2 linked regions of the Coturnix japonica genome follow. The protein of the gene in region 2 purifies or fractionates together with the protein of the main gene of each other region. This does not show direct contact. Links are inferred from orthologs where the notes say so. Each region holds a gene or a part of one and is shown on either strand. Other genes may lie near its edges.

Region 1 (7,345 bases), on a different chromosome or scaffold from region 2:
TCAGTGTTCTCCATCTTTGCCATGTGGGCATGGTGCATCCATACAGAACATGCCTCCATGGCACAACGTGTGGCACACCACTGCTGCCCTGCCCGTGGCTGTGGGCTGAGGGTGCTGTGCTGCTGCTCCGGCTGCTTTTCAAATCAAAACAAGGGCTGTGTCTGGCTCAGATCCGCTGGCACGTGGCCACCCCAGCAGCCAACTGGGATATGAGTCTGTGCAGTGGGGAAGGTGCACCCAAGGGCGTGAGACAGCAGCTGGGGCACCCCTGCTGCCCAGGTATCCATACAGAGCTCCATCCCCTCTGCTGCTTGGGGTTCTTTTGGGACAGATGACACCCCGGAGTCACCCTGCTGGGTCACAGTGTGAGCTCCAGCACAGGCCATGCAGGTCTGGCAGTGCTCACAGCAGGGACCAGCATACCAGGGCTGAGGACAGCCTGGGGGGGACCGCGCAGCTCAGCAGCGAGCAGCAGCATCACATGAGGCTGGGCCGCATGGCTGGAGCTGCCAGAACAAACGCTCCTTTGTCTGGGGATGTTTTGTTTGAGCCGGCAGCACTCAGCCGGGGTCCCCCTGACCCGCACAGCCTTGGCTCCCACATGGCCGTACAGCACGCGGGGTACCGCCATGGCCCAGCAATGTGCCCGGGCTGGGAAGCACGGAGCTGGGCTCCCCAGGGGCGGCCGTCACTGCCGGGACCTGTCCCAGCGTCCCGTGTTACATCAGCCTGCAGGCAGCCCAGGAATTCAGAGACAACATCGAGGGGGAGGTAATGGCAGAGCTGGGCCGGGGGCTGCTCGCCCACCGCCGTGCCGCGCTCCCTGCGGGGCGATGCCAACCCAGGCGGGCCAGCCGGTGATACCGGCTGTGCAGGGCTGTGCTGGGGCACGCCGGGCGCTCCCGCACCGTGTGCTCGCAGTGGGGAGGTGCCCCATCCCTGCGGGTACCCGGCTCCTGGCACTTGGCCGGCGGAGCGCACCGTGCACAGCACCCGGCCCCGCACCGCTGCTAAGCTCCCCCTCTCCCCCTCTCCCCATCTCCCCCTCTGCGCCCGGCCGTGCACAACCTGTTTTTCCAGCTCCACACTTGAAAGCCAGCCCCTCCCAGCTCCATTCTCCCCGGGGCACTGAGCCAATGGGGCCTCGGCAAGGCGTGGGGCAGGGGTCGAGCTCAGGGGCTCCTGCACTGCGGGAGGCAACTGAGTGCCACTGATTTCCTGGACCTTCAAATGCGTTTGGCCGTGGGGCCCAAACCAGCGAATTACCGGCTCAAAGCTGGGGTGGGGAGGTGAGCCCTCCACACTGGGCTGGGACCTGGGGACACCAAGCTACCCCCATTCTGCTGCGACACAGGAAAGTGTCTCACTGGGGCTGGGCACAGGGTGAGTCACAGGCGCAGCCAAGTGCCACCATCCCAATGTTCTTCCCCATCCCCACGCAGGTTGTGCAAGTGCGGCTGTGCCGGGGCGGAAGCTGGTGGCGGGGAGAGGCACACGTCAGCCATGAGCAGCCAGGGTGAAAGTGCTGCAAGAGCGCAGTGAGCCACACGTCCTGCCAGGGCCTGACATCACCGAGTTTCACCGTGACTTCAGACTCTCGGTTTTCTCCCATTTGGGGCTGATCCGGGACCTACGCAACTGGGAAGCGTCACACCTGGCTGCACACCCGTGTTCCTCCCATAAGGTGCCATACCCACACAGCCGAGGGCTCCCTCAGAGCTCCTGCCTGGGATCCACCATCCCATCCCCTCCCTTAGGACCCTTTGCTCAGTAAGTGAGGCTGAGCTGAGCCCCAGGGATGCGGGGCAGGTGCTGTCTGTCCTTCCCTTGGGGTGTGGGGCAGCAGCAGCCCCAGCACCCAGCAGAAAGCATCGTGCCGTGCAGCTTTTACAGCCCGCATTAACATGGAGGAAATTGCTCCTTCCTCCACCAAGCCCTTTCATCAGGCAGGCAGCTGCAGCGCCGTTGGGGAGCCCAGAGCTGCACCCACCAGCCCCTGGAGCTCCCACTGATGTTCACCACCCGAGCGCTGTGCGGGGCCAATCCAGACCTGTCTGACTGCAAACACAGCGCTCGGCTCATCGGGTAATTACAGGGAAGCTCATCACGCTGCTCGTGCTGAGCCACAGATGGGGCTTTTGAAAGGCTGCACGGCACGGAGGGCACGGCAGGATGCTCTGTGGTCAGGCTTTGTGGCAGCAGCGCTGGCACGCGCGGGCAGACCCAGACAGGACGCCCAACTCCCACACACCCCCCCTGTCCCCAGCCCCAGACGGGAAGTGCTGGTGCTCGGCAGCGGGGATTTCCAGCTGGGAGCCATCGCTGTGTGCTGGGTTAGTGCTGCCTGGCACACAGCTGCCCGTCACCCTGATGTCAGTCACTGCCCCAATGGGCACAGCCTGCTGGCGCTGCACAGCCCGGGTAAATGATTAACAGAAAGTTCACAAACATGGAATGCGTTGGTACAGTGCAGGGTTCAGCTCCCAGCCCCGATACTCCCCAGCGTGGGCGAAACTCAGACTGGAACTCCTGAGCCACCCTTCCTAAGAACCACCACCCGCACCCACGCACGGCTCTGCACCAGGACGGGCGCTCGGCACTTGGATGTGGGCTTGGTGCTGTTGTGAGCTGGGTGCTGATGTGTGCTGGGTGCTGGGATGTGGGCTCAGCACAGGCTCAGGGCCGGGCTCCATGCCCCACACCCAGCCTGCCGGCCCCAACAAGCTCTGCCTGAGTCAGCGCCGCCCGCCTCGGTGCTGCTGGGAGAGGCGCCCACTGCCCCTGTTTGCCCCGGCACCTGCACCACCGGGCTGCTCGTGGAGCTGGGACACGTAGGCACGGCTCCGTGTGCCCATGGCCACCAGCACTGAACTGGACATAGTGCAGCCGGCCCTGACAGCACGCAGGGCACACGGGCACTTAGCCATGGCTTTGTTCCCCATGGCCACCCTCGGTGCCACGCACCCAGCCCCCCATCCAACCATATTTCTATGCCACTTTGCCACGCACTGAACCCGTCCCAACAGGAACACCTTCGTCCTTGGTACCAGCCACCTTCGGTACCACGCTGAGCCTGTTCCCGTGTCTCTCATCACCTCTGGTGGCGCACACCCAACCCACCCCCACGACCACAGCTCTGTCCCCCCAGCCACCCCCGTGCTCCTACCTCGTCCCAGCTCCCTGCCCGCCGCCACGCTGTCCCGGGGCACGCTGAAGGTGAAGGTGTCTGCAGCAAAGCCGGGCTGGCAGGGGGCTGCCTCGTCGCACCGCCGGCCGCACACCTGCCCGAGAGAGGTGTCAGCCCCGACCCCTTCCGTCCCGTTCCGTCCCCTCCGTCCCGCCCGGCAGCCCCGCACCTGGAGCAGCAGCAGCAGCACCAACACGGGGAAGCGCTGCGGGCCGGGGGAACCCCACCGCCGGCCCATGGCTCAGGGACCGGGCCGGTACCGCCGCGGACGGAGCTGCCGAGCGCTGCCTCCGCCAAGCGCAGGTGGGAGCGCCCCGCCCGCAGGTGTTGGCCCCGCCGGGCCCCTCCCCGCCCCGCTCCGCCTCACCGGGGCCGCCCCGTCCCGCCCGCCCCGTCCCACGGCGCCGTCCACGGGCGCGAGGCCCACGGGGGGACGAGGGGGCGGCGGGGTCGGTCCCTTCTGCGAACTGCGGCGCTGCGCTGGGGCCGGGGTGAGCAGCGACACTCAGTGCTACCGCCGCCCCCGCGGCTGCAGCGGGGCAGAGTCTGCACACAGACACTGGGGCTGCTCGTACCGAGCTGGGACAGAAGCCGAGCCCTGGCCGTGGCACGGCAGCAGCAGCGCTCCATTTCCCCCTTAGGCGCCGTGCTCAGCCGGCGTGGTTAACGCAGTTAAGTTGTTTAATGCACTTATTGCTGAGCGCCAAGCGGGCAGAGCCCTGGGGATGGGCAGCGCTGCTCCCTGCACTCCCCATCGCTGCACACAGGGGATGGGGCTGAGCCAGCCCCGGGTGAGGGGGGTCTGCTCTGAGCCCTTGGGGTGCACAGAATCACAGCGAGACAGAGAAGGGTCTTAAAAAAGGAAAAAGGAAAACCACATCCTTTATTAAAACTTCCCTAAAACTTCTACAGCCCCAGCTCAGCCCGCTGGTACCATCCTGGTACCACAACAGTACCACCCTGATACCACCCCGGTACCACAACGGTACCACCCTGATACCACCCCACTACATCAAATTCATAGTTGCTTAAAAAAAAAAAGTTGAAACACACAGGAGGAAGCCAAGGCTGCTTCAAACAGCACAGGGAGTGCAGGAGAGGGCAGCGCGGCCCCAAGGCACGGGCAGGGTAAGGCTTTGGGCAGCAGCAGCGCTGGTTGGGGGCTAGTCATCGTCTCCCCACCGCCATAGGAGCTCCGCCAGCTTCTTGAAGCGGTTGCCCCACTCGTTGAGGTAGTCGTAGTCCTGGTCCTGGTCGGAGGCGGAGGAGATTGAGGGAGCTAGCGAGGTGGCTCCGACCTCCGCCTCGTAGTCGAACACCAGCAGCGGAGTCGTAGGGGGGGGCCGTGGGTCCGTGTCAGCCGCCTTCAGGTTCTGTAGGAGGGCAGAGGAAGGGCTCACCCGCTGCTCCCCCCGCGCTCAGCCCTATGGGATGGGGACGCTGTGGGCAGCCCAGCAGTGCGGCGGCAGAACGGTCGGGCTCACCTCATCGATGAAGTTTCCGATCTCATCGGGGTTGGCCGGCCGGGGCGGTACTGGGGGGCGGCCATCAGCGGTGGGGGCCACGTCATTGCGGATCACCTCAGGGCGGGCGTCCAGGCCGCGGTGCAGCTGGCATCAGGTTCGTGAGTCCTGCGTGGGGATGGAGCAGGATGAGGCTGACACACAGGGAGCACTGCTTTACCCCCCATCCCCAGGCCTGGGCCTCACCTGGTCCTCCTCACCCCCACCTTCCTCCCCATAGTAGAAGATGTTGTCCCTCGTGTCATCCTCAGGCAGCAACAGCGGCTCCTTCACCACCTTCCTCCTCCTCACCAGGAGAAGCAGCAGCAGCAGCACAACTGCAGGAGAGGAGCTGCATCAGTGGTTCATCCCCACGCCACATCCCTGCAGCACCCCCACACTCCGAGCTGTTGGGCACTCACGCAGCAGGGCCAGCACAGCGCCCAGCACGGCGAGCACGATGGGCACACCGGTATCCACCCGTGGCTTCTGAGCACAGCTCTCCACCCTGCCCTGGCAGTCACACACTTGTGCTCTGATGACAGTGACCTGGTCCTTGCCCTGGCGGTCGAAGAGCCGCAGGTAGACATTGTACAGGTTCTGCTCCAGGGGCTCCGTCAGCCACAAGGCAACGGTGTCACCTGTGCGGGGTAGGTGACAAGCCTGACTTCACCATGTTGGCTCACGTGGGACCAAGTGCAGCACCACCTCGAGTCCCCACGTTACCTCCACTGCCAACCTCCACCGCCCAGCTGTCCCCAGAGCCGTGGCTCAGCTCTGCACGGAAGGGCCCGGTGTTGGGAGGCAGGTCCCGGTCGGTGATGGTCAGCACCTGGGGCACAGGGCTGCGGTTACAGATGACGATGTCGCGGGGCTCGGGCTCAGGGCCGTGGTCATTGACATCCAGCAGGGTGAGGAGCAGCGTGCCAGTGCCTGTGGCGGGTGGCAATCCTGCAGGGAGGAGTGGGGCTGGTAAGGGACCCTCGGCAGCAGGACTCCCATGCTGGCAGAAGGCGTTGTGGGCAACGCAGGCACCACTCCCTGCCCTGGGGCTGAGCGGGACGCAGCCCCCGTGACACCAGCAGCACATGTCCCTCACGTGGGACTGCAGCCTGATGGGAATGTGGGAACAAGGGCCCTTTTCACAGCCGCCACACTCACCGTCATCCACAGCCAGCAGCACGGCCATGTAGGTGCTGTTCTTGGTGAACGGGGACTCACGGTCCAGCTGTTCCCGTGCTGTGATGAGGCCGTTCTCAGGGTGCACGGCCAGCCAGCCCGCGGGGTCACTGCCCATCACATACCTGTGGGCACAGTAGGTTGGTCCTGCGGGGCATGGCAATAGGGATCCCTCTGTGACCCCAACCCAGCCCTGCTCACTTGATGCGCTGCTGCTGGGCTCTGTCAGGGTCCTGTGCTGTATAGGAGGCAAGGGGCTGCCCCAGCGGCACATCCTCTGGCACTTGGGCCAGCCGCAGCGGTGGGTCGAAGGCAGGAGCCTCATTCACATCCTCCACATTGACCGTCACTGTGGCTGTGGCTGTGGGCAGCTTGATGGCAAAGGGGGCTTCATTGACCACAGCCACATGGAGCACAAACTGCCGCTTGGCCTCGTAGTCCAGACCCTGTGGGAGGGAACAGGATGGGTAGCACTGCCCAGGGCTGGTGGCTGTGCTACAGGGACAAGCAGGGGATGCTCACCTTGGCCGTGCGCAGGACACCCTCGTTGCTGGCAGGGTCAGTGGTGATGGCGAAGGCACCGCCCTCGTTGCCCCGCACAATGGAGTACACGGCACGCCATGCTGGTGTCTGTGGCTCATCCTGGTCCGTGGTGACCAACCGGGCCACCTCCAGCTCAGCTTCATTCTCTGGCACAGCCGCCTCATACTGTGGATTAGGAAAGGTCAGCACGAAGCCCACAGCACCTGGCATAACCTGCCCCCATCCCGGCCACGGTACCGTTTTGGGGTCAAACTCCGGGGCGTTGTCATTGACATCTGTGATCTCAATCACAGCCAGCGCCGTCGTGGTCAGCCCCTGCCCGTCCAGGTCGGCCGCCTGCATGGTCAGCGTGTACTCCCGCACGCGCTGCAATGGACAGACAGACATCAGCACCCACAGCCGCACTGCCAGGGTCGCCCTGCGGGCAGGGTCCCACCTCCCGGTCGAGGCCGCTGGCGATGACGCTGAGGGTGCCGGTGGCGCGGTTGACGGTGAACATGTGGGGATGGGGCTCCCGCGGCTCCTGGCTGAGGATGGAGTAGGCGATGACACCATTGTAGGTCTCCACATCATCATCAGCATCCGTGGCATTCACCTGCATCACCGAAGTGCCTGGGGGGCAATGGGGGGGGGGGTCTGTGTGAGAGGGTTGGGTACGGAACACGCACCCCCAAGAAGGACACATCCTGCAGGAGGCAGAGCCCCCCATGCAGCACAGCCCCACCTGGCAGCGCGCCTTCAGGCACGGAGCCCCGGAACACCTCCTGTGTGAACTGGGGCTTGTTGTCGTTTTGGTCCGTCACCGTCACTATGATCTCCATCGGCTCCTCCACGGGTTTGCCATTCTCGGACACGGCGTGGGAGTAGAGCTGCAGGGCAGAGGGGTGAGTGTGGAGACAGCACGGCATGGGGGTGAACCCAGCGCCCCACAGCA
Region 2 (7,345 bases):
TGGGGTTTCACTCGGAGCCTGAAGGCCCTTGTGTGGCTCTGGAGCTTTCTGTACCCTGTGTGAACAGCAGCTGGCTGCAGCCAAAGGCCCTCAGACTGCAGCTGAAGCAGAGCCCAGTTGATTCCTGCACAGCCTGGGTCCAACCCACCTGCCAAACACAGAACCATGCTGCTGTGTGAGAGCCTCCAGGCCGGAGAGAAGGATCCCAGCATTAGTCCCCCCGCTTGGCAAACCTAAACCAGCCCTAAGCTCATAACCATGGGTTCCTGATGCTGGCCATGCTAATTGCTTGCTGTCACACCCACACTCTTTGCATGTCTGCCAAGCTCAGTGATTGTAAAATGATAGAATTCCTGAGCTGGAGGGTCCCTGCGAGGACCACTGAGTCCAGCTCCTGGCTGCACGCTTCAATGGCTCCAGGTGGGGATGGCAAAAAGCTGCTTGAGTTCCTGAAAAGATCAGAGCAAAGGCTCTGCTGCATCTGTCTGCGACTCAAACACCACCACTGTGTTATTCATAGTAATAATTCCTACAAATATAGTTGGAATTTGCAGCGAGCAAAGCGCAGCTCACCTCAGGAACAGAATCTGTGGAACAAGACTTAATGCACGCTCGCCAAAGGGATGCTTAAAAATAAAGCTGGCCAGAGATGAATGGCTGTTTTGTTATAAATCCACAGCTGGGCTGAGGAGGTCAGGACCGACCGAGCATTGGACCTCAAAGGGCCCCTCTCACTTTGCAGAGAGATTTTAGGGGCCCCACGGAGCGGTTGGATGGGGCTCATAAACAGGTCTGAATGGTTTGTCCAGAGAAGTCATGGGTGCCCATTGCATGGACATGGCCAAGGCTGGGCTGGCTGAGCCCTGGGCAGCCTGATCCAGTGGGGGCAGCCAGCCCAGGGCAGGAGTTGGAGCTCAACGATCTTTATTTCCCTTCCAAACCAACCACTTTAAGTTTCATGGGGCACTGGGGGCTCCCCAGCACTACACAGCTGTGGGGCTGAGCCTCAGGGCTCTGTGGGGAGAAACGCAGCAGCACCGGTGTCACCAGGCATTGCAACACACCGTCTGTGTGCAGCATGCCTGAAGGGGGAAGCCATGGGCAGCTGTTCTGATTTTTCCTGATGAAATTGCTTGAAGGTCAACAAAAAAGAGCACAAAAGTAGCTGTGCATTTGTAACGAGAAATCGAGATGTGCCCACATGGGTGAGCCAGGAGAAGTACTCAGTGAGAGTGACTTGGAATTGGAAAGCACCTGCCTTTCACTTCTAGTTTCAGCCTCTGCATCCCTCTCTGCCCTGCCCCCCCACCGTGTGTTTTTGGTGCTACTGAAAGGTGAAGAGAAAGAAGAAAGAGGTTTCAGGGAAGGGAGTGGAATGCCTCACAAAGAGCATGGGTGGGATGGTGAGAAGAGCAGGGCTGGGAGTGGGGCAGGAGGAGAGGGCAGCTGGAGGGCTGCAGGTGAACGCGCCTCGGGCACAGAGCTGAGCCGTGAGCCGGGAGGGCCCCTGCCAGGGTGCTGCGAGGGCACGTTGCTGAGCCAGAGCCCCAAAGAGGAGAGGCTGGATGCCAGGAGTGTCTGGTGGCCATTTTCAATGTGGGTCTGGGCTCAGCCCGTGCAGCAGCACCTCGGGGCTGGGGCCGAGCCCGGTGCCCGGGGCTGTGCTGCCTGCAGGAGGCTGCGGGGCTGTGGGGCTGGGGCAGCCGCTGTGGGTGCAGCATCCATCCATGCCCTGCTATGCCCTGTAGAATTAACAACACCGAAAGGACTTTCCACGGACACCAGGCTGCAGTCTGGGGCCGCAGCCTCCAATTCATGCAGGGAGCGATGATCAGGCTGCTCCTGGCAGGAAGGCCCCCCCGTGCGATGCGCTGGCCGGTGGGGACGGCTCGGTGTGTGCATGACTCCCGGTGACTCATGGGTTTGTTGGCCCTCGGCAGTGTCACGGGAAATATTTTTTTAATAACTCAAATGAGCCGGGGGAGGGGTGCGCACTGCAAACAAACTCAGTCACCCTCCGCACTGATTCTGAAGCGCTGGAGTTTCCAGAAGCCCCCGCTCTGGTCGCTGTGAGGGGCAGCACGAGGGGTGGGCACGACGTCCACGCTCGTGGCTCCACGGGGAGGCTCACGGCACGCTCTTCTTTCCCTGTTTATTCCCCTGCGCTGAAGTTTTGCCTCCTCCCCGAGATCAGGGGGATGGGGACGAGGATGCAGGAGGGCGCAGAATCCATCACAAAGCGGCTGTTCGCTGCGTGCCCCGGTCGCTATAATAAAAGCGAACCGCAAAGCAGCCGGGTTGTAACCTCAGTGCAAATCACCGCTCTCCTCTCGCCGATCCCGGGCGGGCAGCTCGGAGCCGAGCTCAGAACCGCGCCGCGCTCCCACGCGTGGCCCCGCCGCGACCGGGCGGCTCCGGGACGGGGTGCGTCGGTAGAGCCGCGGGCGGGGGCGGCTCCGGTCGCTGCTCCGCACCCCGCCGAGCCCGGCAGCCCGGAGGCTTCTTCCTTAAAAGAAAAAAAAAAAAAACCCGAGGGGAGGGGCTCGGCGATTTTTCTTTTCTTTTTTTTTTTTTTTTTCCTATAAGCCGTTTCCGGTTTACTGCTGCCATATTCCTAGTTTTTTTTCCCTCCCTGTGGGCTGTTCCCCCCTTACACACACACACACACACACACACACACACACACCCCGTACAAGGGGTGATCGGGGGCGGGGAAGCGGCGCTCCGGATCCGCGGTGCTGCGCGATGCTGCCGGCGGCGCAGCCCTGAGCGTCCGGCACGGCCCGGCCCGCGGTGCGGGCACCCAGAGCGGCGGCGGCGGCTGCGGGGGGCGGCGGCCGCGCCCCCGGCACGGAGACAAAGCCGCGGCCGAGCCCTGGAGGGGAGCGGCGGGGTCCGGCCTCGCGGGGCGCACACGCGGGAGGTGAGCGGGGGCTGCGCGGGGTCCGGCGGCGGGGATGGTCCCCGCGGGGTCCGGCTGCGGGGCCGGCGGGAGATGCTCGCCGTGCGGTGGAGGATGCCCGGGTGGCAGCGGGGCGGCTCCGTAATGCCCGCGGTAACGGCGGGGCGGCTCCGGGTTGCGTGGGGCGGCCGTGGGTCCGGCGGAGAGTGCGCGGGGTCCCGGGGCCGGCTGCGGGGCTGCCGGGGGATGGGGACGGGCCCGCCGGGGGAGCGGAGGGGGGAGCTGCGGGGTCCGGCCCCGCCTGCCCGCACTCCCCTTTGTTGTGATCGGGGGCTGCGGGAAACACTGGGAGAGCAGAGCAGGGAGAGCCGGGCTGTGTGCAGGCCGGGGCATGAAATATTCATCGCCCCCCTGCTTTGATGTCTCCTGCTCCGTTTCCCTCTCGATATTCGCTCGTCGGTGATTCGGGGCTCGTGTCCGCGCTCCGCCGGGCGTTCGCTCTGCCCTCGCCCGGGGAGGCTGCAGAGCCCCGCGCTGCCCGGGGAAGGGCTGTACCCGGCCGGCAGGTTCTCCCGGAGCAGCCCGGCTGCTGTGCGTGTCTCCGCCGCGAGGAAGCACCGTGGGACTTGTCTGAACCACGCCGGGGCCTGGGTGGACTTTCCCCTGCTGACCGTGACCCCATGCAGTGCGCTCGGTCCCCGGCTCAGCCCCACGGCAGTTTGGTTTCCTCTTGACCGTCCCTTCTCTCTGCTGCCCGGGAGCTCTGAGGGTACAGGGAGCAGCTCCCGTGGGTGATGTTCCCCCACTCAGTGGTGTTTGGAGCCCGTAGGGTGCTCAGTGCCTGAGTGCTGGGAATGGGACAGCACTGATCCAACAGCATCGGATGTAAACGGAGCTGTGGGAATGTGGCAACAAAAGACTCAGTTTGGTGTTTTTCCTCCTTCCGTGCTGGTGCTCACCCCTGTCCCCAGGGATGTGATGGGGCATGTGGTGGGATGCCGGTGACCTTGTGCTTGGGAGCAGTGTGATGCTGTTGTTCCCCTGCACTCTTCTGCAGGATGATCCCCTGCTGCTGCTGCTTGTTTGTGCTGCTTCGTGCTGGCTCAATGGTTGGCCCATGGACAAACCTCTGCTGCTCAGTGTCTGAGATGAGGCTCCCTGGGGAGCACTGTGCCACTGTGAGCCTGTCTGTGATCCCACTGCACCTCTCCTTAGCAGGCTGTGGGCTGCACCCATTCCCAAGCTTTGACCTTATCTTCTTAGCTTTGGATCTTATCTGAGCACCTCGTGCTCAGGAGCTTCCCCAAAATACAGCCCGGTGATTTTGGAGCTGGGGTTGCTTATGGGCCATCACAGCAGAGGGATGTGCAGTGCTCGCTGTTAAGATTGTCAGTGGCCTTGCAGTGCTCCCTGTGTGATGGAGATGCCCTACAGATACCTCTGCTTTTGAATGACATTGTCCTGGAGTGACTCAAGATCACCCAGGTGGGTCTGTCTGTCCCAGCACAGCGAGGGAAGGGGCCGTAATTTGCAGAGTCTGATGTGTGAAGGCTCTGCTGCATACACAAGGAACAAACTGGTGGCACAGAGGGGACATGGGCTCCGGGCTGGCTCACAATGACATGTTTTAATGACCAGTGAGCACGTGCCACGTCTGGATGGAGAAGGGGTTGCAGCAAGCCCTGGGCTGGAGCACTCAGTCCACGTGCCTAAGGGGAAGCACAGCCGTGCATCACTGCTGCCCCGCACCACCCCAGGCATGGCAGGGGAAGCACCAAGGGCTATCTGCAGCACTATTGCTTCCTGTACCATCCGTCCTGCAGCACGGTTTCTAACTTGGCCCTTTATCTCTGGGAACCATTTCCCAGCTGACCTCACTTCCTCAGAGCTTCTGAGCTCAAAGCCCTCTCGGAAGTGTGGATGCAGGGTGAGCAGTGTGGGTCAGCTCCCTGGAGTGTGATGCTGTGTGATAGTCTGCTCTGCAGTCTGCTTGGCCAGGGGAAAAAGGAGCTGGTTGGTGTGGGCCATATGCTCAGTGCAGCCCTGCTCTGGTGCTGTGACCTTGGTGTGAGGGAAGTGGCACTGCTTTGCACATGCCTCTGCACATGCACAGGCTGAAAAGAAAGCCTTGAAACAGATTTCATGTGGTTTGAACGTGGGCCAGGAACCAGGACCTGTAAATCTGCGTCTTGCTCTGACTTCCCTCCAGGCTACGGATCTCCTCACTGCCCTCCTGGGCACAGAGCTGGGAATGCTTGGGATGCACTGGGAGCTGCCGGGGGGGGCAAAGCAGTGCTGGAGATGTGGAGGGGATGAAAGCAATAGTGGGGATACAGGGAGGAGAAGCTCTGGGGAAGCTGGGGTCTGGCTGGTGGCTTTGCTTCAGACCTTATGGGGGGCTGCTCCCAGCCCCAGGATGGCTGTGCTGTGCAGAGGTGTGGAGGAGCTGGAATACCCACAGTGTAACGTGAGGGGTCCTGTCTTGAGGTCTGCGTTGGTGAAGGGTTTGGAGAGGAAAATGGGGAACTGCAGCACCCGGAGATAACACAGTCTCACCCCTCAGCCTTTCTCCATTCCAAAGCCCAGTGTCATTGGGCACAGTGGGCTCACAGCACTGGGCTGTGCCCGCTGCCACACGCCATCCTTGCACACAGGGTCCCCACTCCCACACTGTGCCTGGTCCTGGCTGCAGTTTCCCAGTCCCAAATGGCACCGTGGTGCTGCAGCACCTCGTGGGTCTGGATGTTCCCAGGGCGGAACCGTGAGCTGGAGAACTTCTGCAATATGGAAAAAAAGCACAGTGGCAGCAGCTCTTGGAGTCCCTCCCTGTTCAGCTGGGCTCTTTCCTTCCCCTGGCAGCAGCCACTGCAAGATAAGGGAGCACTGCAGCCCTGGGGAGCTGCACTGCCACCCCGGCGTGGGGTTGTGTCCTCATGGGTGGGAATGCTGAGCTGCTGTCTGTGGGATGGGGTGAGTGCAGGCTGTGCTGTGCTGGGGGTGGATGGGATGGGGATGGCCCGAATCCCACTGGTGGTGGCCAGCACATGGGGCAGGGTGGAGGGCTGCATTGGAAGCTCACAGGGTGGACAGGCTCAGAGCACTGGGACCAGGTGTGGGGCCATCGCTGGGAGCTGGAGGGTCAGTGTATCTGCAGCTCATCCTGTGTCAGTGACTCCTATTACCCAGGTGGGTTCTGGGCACCTGAGTGAGCAGCGCAGGGCTGGGCTGTGTGCACAGCCTGCTTCTCACCTCCAGGAACGGCGGGGCTGAAAGCCACCAGCTCAGCGTTTTCCTTTGTTTTGCATCTGCTGGGGCTGTTCGTAGCGAGCAGAGCAGTGTGAGCTGCACCTCGGCAGGCTCCGAGCATCCAGCACAGCCTGCATCAGTCAGGGCACAGCCGGGGCATCCAGCGCGGCTCTATGGGCACGGGGACACGGCGGGGCTCTGTGTGATCTCAGCTCGCCCCTCCAGACCCCTCATTTCGCTGAGCTTCTGCTGTATCCCGAGCTTTGTTTTGGTGACAAATAGCGCTGAAGGCCGCAGCGGCTGCGGGACCGGCTGAGCGCAGAGCTGTGCCTGCGGGCCCCCATCCAGCGGTGGGGCAGGGAGGGAGCCGATTCCTGGCCCCGCTCTGAACGCAGCTGTTGCAGCTCTGGGTGTGTGTTGCAGGGCTCTGTGCTGCACGGATCCTGCGGGGCCCCCTGGGGGTCCGTGCCCCGGGGCTGCAGCTGGGAAAGCCGGGCAGCTCCCGGCCGGACTGGCTGGGCTGGTTCTGAGTGGGGAAATGTTTCAGCAGTGACGCCAGCACGGCCGGGGTGGCTGCGACTTGCTCATATCTGGAGCTTTTCTGTCTGCCACGTGTTCCTCGCCCCTTCCTGCGGCTGCCCGTGGAGCTGCTATCCTCCTTATCCTCCTTCCTGGCTGTGAAATCGCCGCATGGGTGGGTGGCACCACCCGGTTGCATCCATTGCCCGTGTCAGCCCTTTGCTGGCAGCCCGGAGGGGCTGGGCGATGCCACCATCCCCTGCGGTGCCCCGGGCAGATCTCTCCATGTAGAAAGCAGAAGTGAGCTCCGTTTTCTGCAACTGTCCTGGAAGTGGGAGAGTTTGCTGCAGGAATGGGGAACTGAAATGCACGGCTTCGTGCTGCTCTTCTGAGGACACTCAGAACATGAGAATTAACAGGGAGCCCACAGGTGGGCAGTGTGTCCTGGGGTGGGATTGACAAGAGTCTTTTGGGGCGCAGGGGGCTGTGTTGCCCTGTGGTTAGGTCTGATTCTGGCCCTGCTCCATGTCAGTGCTTCCCAGCACCAGGGCACGGGGCAGCATTCCTTCTGTTTGCCTCTCCTGGGCTGAGCAGGAGAAGAGCAGTGCCCTCATCACCTGTCTGGGAGAGGCACAATCCATGTTAATGCACACCAAGGGCTTTGTGCGTGTTTGGGTA

What was found. The genes of interacting proteins can lie anywhere in the genome.
Region 1: the proteins of SRC (region 2) and cadherin-1 purify together in Homo sapiens (affinity purification with western blotting; 5 studies listed by BioGRID and IntAct, with this or other methods). This does not show direct contact. The link is inferred for Coturnix japonica from reciprocal best matches to the Homo sapiens genes SRC and CDH1.

The regions. Positions count from the first base shown.
Region 1 is NC_029526.1:16,822,829-16,830,173, reverse strand, and holds the start of cadherin-1, read right to left. Parts: upstream 3,497-7,345; 5' UTR 3,426-3,496; coding exon 3,357-3,425; intron 3,282-3,356; coding exon 3,167-3,281; intron 1-3,166.
Region 2 is NC_029535.1:4,437,329-4,444,673, forward strand, and holds the start of SRC (proto-oncogene tyrosine-protein kinase Src), read left to right. Parts: upstream 1-2,659; 5' UTR 2,660-2,923; intron 2,924-7,345. UniProt on the Homo sapiens protein: Non-receptor protein tyrosine kinase which is activated following engagement of many different classes of cellular receptors including immune response receptors, integrins and other adhesion receptors, receptor protein tyrosine kinases, G protein-coupled receptors as well as cytokine receptors.